Daphnia pulex: one gene and its partner. The protein of the gene in region 2 purifies or fractionates together with the protein of the main gene of each other region. This does not show direct contact. Links are inferred from orthologs where the notes say so. Each region holds a gene or a part of one and is shown on either strand. Other genes may lie near its edges.

The links.
Region 1: the proteins of nucleolar protein 58-like (region 2) and nuclear fragile X mental retardation-interacting protein 1-like purify together in Homo sapiens (co-immunoprecipitation; 3 studies listed by BioGRID and IntAct, with this or other methods). This does not show direct contact. The link is inferred for Daphnia pulex from reciprocal best matches to the Homo sapiens genes NOP58 and NUFIP1.

Annotation. Positions count from the first base shown.
Region 1 is NC_060028.1:9,395,733-9,399,505, reverse strand, and holds nuclear fragile X mental retardation-interacting protein 1-like, read right to left. Parts: upstream 2,322-3,773; 5' UTR 2,197-2,321; coding exon 1,754-2,196; intron 1,700-1,753; coding exon 1,602-1,699; intron 1,540-1,601; coding exon 1,336-1,539; intron 1,244-1,335; coding exon 1,103-1,243; intron 1,052-1,102; coding exon 849-1,051; intron 789-848; coding exon 606-788; 3' UTR 565-605; downstream 1-564. Other genes in the region: 6-phosphofructo-2-kinase/fructose-2,6-bisphosphatase 1-like, read right to left, coding at 3,395-3,454, 3,530-3,773. UniProt on the Homo sapiens protein: Binds RNA.
Region 2 is NC_060020.1:6,025,308-6,029,504, forward strand, and holds nucleolar protein 58-like, read right to left. Parts: upstream 2,914-4,197; 5' UTR 2,563-2,913; coding exon 2,518-2,562; intron 2,462-2,517; coding exon 2,385-2,461; intron 2,321-2,384; coding exon 2,142-2,320; intron 2,085-2,141; coding exon 1,891-2,084; intron 1,834-1,890; coding exon 1,546-1,833; intron 1,484-1,545; coding exon 719-1,483; 3' UTR 629-718; downstream 1-628. Other genes in the region: cysteine-rich protein 2-binding protein-like, read right to left, coding at 50-109; golgin subfamily A member 6-like protein 22, read left to right, coding at 3,504-3,754, 3,827-4,128, 4,196-4,197. UniProt on the Homo sapiens protein: Required for the biogenesis of box C/D snoRNAs such as U3, U8 and U14 snoRNAs. Part of the small subunit (SSU) processome, first precursor of the small eukaryotic ribosomal subunit.

The DNA of each region.
Region 1 (3,773 bases), on a different chromosome or scaffold from region 2:
AACATCCGACATTAGGCAGTGCAACATTGTGGTAGGGCGAAAGTTTACATGGAAATGTCTAGTAAACTTAGACTTACCTAAACTGATCATTCCAATTGGAAATGGCGAAGAATCTGGTTGCGAAGTCGGTGTAGTTACAAGTCGGAATGTAATTTAACGACACCTGACATCAAAACGCGACACCATCACCAGGACTTGTACGACAAGTAACATTTGCGGCGTCTCTCCTCTGGTTTTGTCATTCTTTGATTTGATAGTATCGAGCCGTTATTTTCTTCTTTCTCTTTAGAAACTTATTCGTTAACGTTCGTTTGAAATTCCTAATAAACAAGGCTGGTATTTCTGTAAGCTTGTTGTCAATGCCCCCCCCCCTCTCTTGTTAACCAGCACTTCTGTGGTAGTGGTCTCAAAATTTTTGTTCCTGCAATCAATCAATCCGATGGCAAATAGAAAAAGAAACCAAACAGTGCCGGCCCGTGCTAAGAACAAGCTTACATGATAAAAAAGACGACGAAAGCTAATGCGTTCTTCTAACAGAAATATAAAAAAAGTTTTAACACACCATTCAGCTTTCGATATATTCAAGGCGGTGAGAACCTACAAACTTACAACTCAATTTTAACTAACGGATTATTTGTTTGAGAGGAAGATGTGTCTTTCACTTCCGCCGCAACTGTTATTGTACGTGGCATGTTTCCTTCATCAAAGCCGAAGAAATTCTGTTGGACAATGTAATGCACGCATTGGAGGATAACGTTACGTTCATGTAAAATTTCCCCTTGCAATAGCTGTAAAAATACATTTTTTTAGGGAAACAATTTAAATTAAACTTTAAAATAGAACAAGACCTTTTGCAAAAGTGTCAGTCTTTTAGGACGAATGAGTTCTTTAATCGCAGGAACATCTGGTATGTTTTTTTGTGCTTTCGCCTTCTTTCGACGTTTGGCTTGTTTAGATGGTTTAGTTAAATGTTCTGCCTTTTCTTTTTCAACATTTTTTACATTCTTTTCACTTTCTTCTGAAACCAATTTTGGTTTCTTAGCATCTAAAACTTCAGAAAATATAAGTGTGGGTATGGATATTATGGCATAGTGTTTTTTACCTGCTCCTTCTTCTTCAGAATCGGAAGCATAGGTCATCAAATGAGCTAGGGCATTGCTACCAGGAATTGCCGCGGCTTTCGCCTTTTCTCCTTCGTTATCCGAATCTAATTCGCCATCACTAAGTTCCTTTTTTACTTGTACTAAAAAGCAAAGAGATTGAAATTAAAGAAGAAAATAATTAATAAAAAGTTTCATGAGAGTATAACTTTTATGAGTATAAATAAATTCAGACCCATTGTTGCTTCGTGAGTTTTTGTGGTGTTGAATGACTTTGTTTCATTTGCTAGAAGAAGCTTTTGTGAAAATTCTGATATAACTTGCTGAGTATCACATCTAGTTTCATCTGTTTCTTGTCTCTTGTTTTTCTTGTTTTGATTTCTTCTTGCATCCCATCCTTTTCCTTTCTCACCTTGCCCTCTTTCATTTCTACCCTTGGCTACAAAAAAGGATTTATTAATTATTTTTATTCAAGAATAAAAGTATTTTATCACACCATACCAAATCTTTTTTTAGGTTCATAAAGGACTTCTCCTCTTTCTAACTTTTCTTTCTGTTCAGCCTGTCGTCGTGCAACATTAGCAGTTGAGGGAAATCGACTAAATAAAAACCATTAAAATCACATTACACAATTAATAAACATTGAGTACTACTTCTTTCTTTCCTCCCTCCACTTTTGTATCTCTTCTGGCGTGTTGAGTCTCATAATTTGATCAGCAAGGCCTGTTTCATGCTGCATTTGAATGTGCTTCTCCACGATTTTAGGATGGGCTACAAACGGACAGCCATTTATTCCACAAGGAATGTGTTCAGCTATATGAGAATCCAAAAGTTCTTGAGATCTAAATGAGCGGTCACATCGATCACATGAGAATGATTGATATTGTGAGCTTTGAAAACCGTTCTTTTGGAAACCAAAATTGGTGTGTTTCGTATCGTTAAGTTGCGTTCTTGTCACGCTGACACTGCTATATTGAGGTTGAGGTGCTTGTGGTAATCCAGGCCCAGGATTTAAAGATTGATTCTTTGGTGAAGAAAGGTGAGTAAAACTCGGTTTGGGAACTGCTCCAAAAGCAAATGGATTGGGTAAAGCCATTTTACAATGTTCAACTTCCAGGAGACTTAATGTTCTTTTAAATTTTAATACTAAACTTTAATCGTGGACGTGGACTTTTGAAGGTGAGGCGAATCACCAACCACATGACTGAATGGCAATAACAAACGAAATATTCGTCTGCAAGCATGCAACATTGCAACACTTTCAAATATTTCCTCACACACCAACGGGCAGCGGCCGGCAAGCGCAAGCCGCAGTCGGCACTCGGCAGTCGGCACTAAGAAACTCTGCGTCTCTGCCAAAGTTTTATTTAACGCAAAAAATTACATTTCAAATACATTAAACTTTTTTAATTGTAAAAAGAGATAAGCACTCTTTGCAGCTCTTTGTGATTCCCTCAGTCATTATTTTCATTATTGGCTGCAACATCAGGCCATTTGGAATATTTCCAATCTATGCGTCAATGCAACTAAAATGACCCATATTACAAAAATAACTTCGTCATTAATAGTCAAGGTTATTGAAATATTAAGGCTGCAAGAAGCTTTAAAAAGGTTTGGGTTTTTGGGACTACCTCGTTGTATTTTTTTTGAAATACGAATTAATTTAACCATATAAAATTTCATCCTCTTGTAGTATTGTAAATATTAAGAAATGAAAAGAAATAATTGTATCGTATTTAAAATAAATTAAATATTCCTCGAGCACATGATTTAAAAAGATCAACAATATTATTTTTCTAAACAAATTCCTAAGTGAACTCAAAGACCCTGACATTTGGGTTGGTTACGAACGGAACCGTGGTCGTCGGCAAGTCTTTAAAAATAAAATTGGAACTGGCGAGTACGTGGTAAAAGAATTTCTTATTTTGCCTTGTTCTTGGACCAGTTTTAAAAATAGTCTAATAGATCGGCAGCAATTAAAAAGGCAGATTTTAAGGAAACAGGCAGGTTCTGGGCTGATTTTTAAAGCCATTTAACCAGAGTTGTATTCTCTTTTGCATATTTATAAAAGAAACAAAAAGAATCCCCGAATATACTTTTAAGTTATTGAAGCACTCAGTACATTATGCGAATATAATCACAGATATATATATATGTATAAAAAATGGTTATAATATGGAAAATAATCAAGGATGAGAGAAATCGACCGTACAGGCGAAACCCCATCGATTAAAACAAATCTGCGCCAGAGAATCGTGCAAAACAAATTCCTTCCATGCCTGAAACATATTGCATTAGAAATGGGCAGGAACTGTAACACAGGCCTCCTCAGCCGTTCGTGTGAGACTGCAATTCTAAATATTATAGAAGGGTTTTGTCGAATTGATTAGTCTTCAAACAAAAGAACTAGACCGTGAAAGAAATGTTACCTCGGGTTTGGCTCTGTGCGTTTCGACACATTCGATGCTCAGCGGGATAAGGTCCAGATGGCAACCGCCATCGGCAGGTTTAAACGACAGTCGCATCACTGTATGGAGTGGTGTATGGATGTAGGGCAGTTCTTTTTCATCTTTTTTGAGCAAGGCTGCCAAAAGGCAGCGCAGAACTGCTTGGTGTGCGATCACCAGAACATTGTTTTCGACCTTCAGCCGGTCCAGGACAGGCTTGACGCGA
Region 2 (4,197 bases):
TCTACTCTCAACTGTTAATTAGAAAGAATAGTAAGAAAGATTGGCTTACCGGTGGTCTACCTCTGCCTCTTCCTCCTCCTCGACTTCCTCGCTTTCTTCCTCGTGGCATTACGTTTCACTTGATGTACTTGTTGCAATATTTGAAAAGATTTCGTCTAAATATCGGAATATGGGGTCACACTAAAGTCGTATTTCGACATTTATTCAAGGAATCATTGTATAATATTCATCTAGTCTGCAGTTTGTACTTTGTAGTAGCTGTTTACCATTACAAGTTGCCAAGACTTAAGACTTTCGTGTTGTTACTCGTGGGTTCGAAGCAGACGACAATTTCAAAATATTATCAATCGATTGAAGATAACAATCGTTCATCGGATTTTTTTTTTCTTCAAAAAACCTAAGTTCCCATCACAAAATAGAGTAGTGATTTTTTTAATTTGAAATTGTTTTAGAAATAACGTTAAATTGTCAGTTTGTCTGAGAAGAGTCCTCTAAATATTTAATGGAATCACTAAAATAGTACAACCAAACGAAATTTTCTACCAATGCTTTAAAAATATACAAAACAGTAAATATATCTGCGCTATGCTGAACTGTCTTAGGAAAGATAATGAGGCTGCACAAACAATTTGATAAATGTCGCGGATGTATTAAATCCAACAAAAACGTGCTTCTCACGATACAGAGAATAAAAAAAAATATTGTTGCTGTAACTTTTTCATTCGGCAGACTTTTTCTTCTTCTTCTTCTTTTTTTCAACAGTTCCAGCAGCCTCTTCAGCTTCAGCAGCCACGGGTGGCTCCTCGACATCCTCTGCCTTTGATTTCTTTTTCTTCTTCTTGTCTTTCTTCTCAACAACTTCTTCAGCAGCTTCAGCCGGTTCTTCCTTCGTCTCGACCTTAATGCGTTTTGGGGTTGCTGGAGTTCCGGATTCGTCTCCCTTGCGTTTAGTGGCAAGTGTAGAGTCTGCAGCCGCGTCGTATTGCCTTACCTCACTCTTGTTCTGATAAACGTCAAATTTACCACTCTGTCTGCCTGTGCCTGAAATGCGCGTGATGCCCCCTTGTTCAAGAACTCGGAGACGGGATTCGAGTTTGGCACGATGTTCGGTACCGAGGTCTGAATTAACATCATCTCCCAATGCGTCGACACGGCAAGCAAGAGCAGCTTTAGCAGCAAGCATACGCGAAACTTTTCCTTTCAGCTTGGTTGACGACTGGCCAACAAGTTGAGCATGATAAATAAGACCGTATTTAGGCGTATCGTGTTTAGTTTTAAGGGCGCGGAAAAGAGCTTTCTCTGCACCAAGAATTTGAACAGTTGAAGCAGGATGTTTGGCCAAATTCATTAAAGACCCAGCGTGAGAGATGAGTCGGGCACCAACAAGTTCGCCAACTAAAACTGTTAAATTCGGAGCGATGGCAAGCATTCTGCTCTTCAAATATTCGTACAGTTGACTGCGGTATTCAGTGATTTCGGTAACCTTTGCACACAGAAAACGATAAGTTAACAACCTGTTTACAACTGTTAAAATTATAACAATACCTGTTCACACAAATGTGAAATATTCAAAATATCTTCCTCTGCAATTTCTGTTCCCATCGATATTTCCGCAGCTTCCTTGACCTTTTCCTCGACGTCTTCCGGAAGAATTTCTGAAAGATCTGTAGTTGCAGCGTTAGTTCGAATTCCCATTTTTTGGACTGTTCGGACGAAGGCCAAGTTATCCGTAACGATTTTTCCCATTTCAGGGAAGTGCCAGCCGTACCACTCACGGCAGCGCATCACGTAATTGTTCAATTCTTTGTCCAAGTCATCCAACAGAGAAACAGCCTGTAAGAAAAAGTAGTTAGTAATTTTTGTTACAAAGTCATAACAATGAAATCATACTTGAACAATCATTGTATCAATTTTGTCTGGGCTGAACTTCAGCTTGTATCTCGACAGGCTGTGGGCTAAGCCCAGAGCCATGGCCATCATTTCTTGCTTGGGGAGTCCTCCCATGAGACTGTCTGCTTGGCTTCGGATACATCTCATAAGCTCTTGAATTGCAGAGTTTGACAGACAGTTTATCTGTAATTTTTCTATTAGAAAAATAAAGTTATTAATTGTCCTATAAGCAATTATTTAATGTCAGTTACCTTTAATAGCTGAACCAAGTTTAGCATCAGCAACAGCTAAGGCTTCATGAGCCTCCTCTGCAAAGAGAGATTTTAACGTCTTACGAAGGGTCTTGGATAGTTTGCCTTCAATAGCGGCAGTTGTGGCAGACAAAGCTTCTGTGGTGTCAGTAAATTTTTTAAAATGCTTCAATTTTACCCTAAAGAACCAATAGTTATTAACCCAGCACTAAAAAAAATTACAGTTGTGTAGTGGTTACTTACACTTTGCTTGCACCTTCAGGTGTCTGAAAATCTTGGAAAAGATTGTCAGTCTGCTGAAGTTTCTTTTCATCTAACAGCTATAAACAAAAATATTTGAATTAATCGTACACACGAAAATATAAAATAAATTTACCTTAAACACAGCATAGCCTGCTGGAGTTTCAAATAAGACAAGCATTTTTCTTAAAACGTGGACCTCTTAATAGCTTCTTTAAGATAACCGGGCACACGTGGTCTGAATAGTCAGAAATGCAGTGAGAAAATGAGTTTCATGCAGACTTACACGAGTCTTGAAACGTTGCCGGTTTGCCATGACAAATTTTTACTACTAATCAGCAACCATGAAAATGACCATACTCGCAATTGAAATCAAAGCTGCTTTATTTAAAGAAATTTATTCAAAAATTAAGATATTATTTTAAAAATATTTGTTTGTCCCTCAATATATAAAACGTTATGATCTAAAGTCTAGAGAGAGGCAATGCAGGGCAATGTTCCATATGTAGGACATCGCCTCAAGCATTGAGGCAATTCAACATTTTCATCTTCGGCACTACTCTTTTTTAAGTTAGTTTTCTAAATGTGTATTGTGTAGATTGTCAACTTTTATATAATTTCTTAAAGATGTGTAAATTCCGGCTCATTGTGTTTGAAGTATTAACGAAGTATTAACGACATTGCACTTTGCACAAACGACTAGCGAGTAGCGACACAAATATAAAAACTTCACAAAAATTTAACCCATAAAAATAAAACACAAGCGATATTAACCATTTCTTAAAGCTTTCGTACATTATTTTGTATTTTAATATTTGTAGAATAAACTGGTAGCTAGCAGTTGATTAGGAATTTAGAGAAAACAAAGAAAGGAGAAAAGTAAAATAAATAATGACAGTGGCAACACTGTAGCTTCTCTCCTTTCCAATCCTCCTATTTTTTCTAGTAAACACAAGAAACACAATTGTGTCAGTGAGGAACTTTCACATAAGAAAAGTCTATTTTGTTTTCCAAGCAATAGTTTTTCCTCTCGGCCTCTGATTAGAACGAGGTTTTTGTTCAAATTCATGATTGAGAGTTCACGCTCTTAGGCTCAACTTATTTAAAAAAACAACTTGTGAAATGGACAACAATCGCTTCATATCGCGGTTGCATCCTTTTGTGGCAGCTCGTAATTCTATGCACAATAGTGTTTCGCCCGAAATTCACCGATCTCCTTCTGTAGCTAGTAATATTCGACGATGTGCAACTAAAATAACATCAGATGAACAACGTGCTAAAGCTCGTGAACACCAAAAAAGATGGAGAGAAAAACTCAAAACTGATGTGGCTAAAAGTGCAGAATATAGAGAAATGCAGCGTGAAAGGACCAGGTACTTTCTCACAAATTTGCATGCCTTATGATTAACAATTATCAATGTTGGCTTTCTATTTTAATTTTTCAGGATGTGGAAGGAAAAAATGAGAATCAATGAAGCTGAGAGATTTGGGGAGATTAGCAGGAAACACCAAGAACAATGTAAAAAATGGTGGGACAAGCTGACACCAGAGCAAAGAAGAGAGAAGCGGAAACAGTACAACCTCAAGTGGCGACAGAATCAAAAGAAGGGTGATAGTGACTCTTCAGACAGTAAAGAGACTGATAACTGGCAATCATACAAGTCATACAATCAAACGATGTCAGAAAACAACTCAGGACCAAAAGCTGCCACATCTCTGACAGCTCCTGATTATTATTCTGTGAAAAGTAATGCACCAGTGTTCAATGTTGTGTCTGGCAGTGTAGTATACCCATTTTCCTATTTTCCTTTCAGAT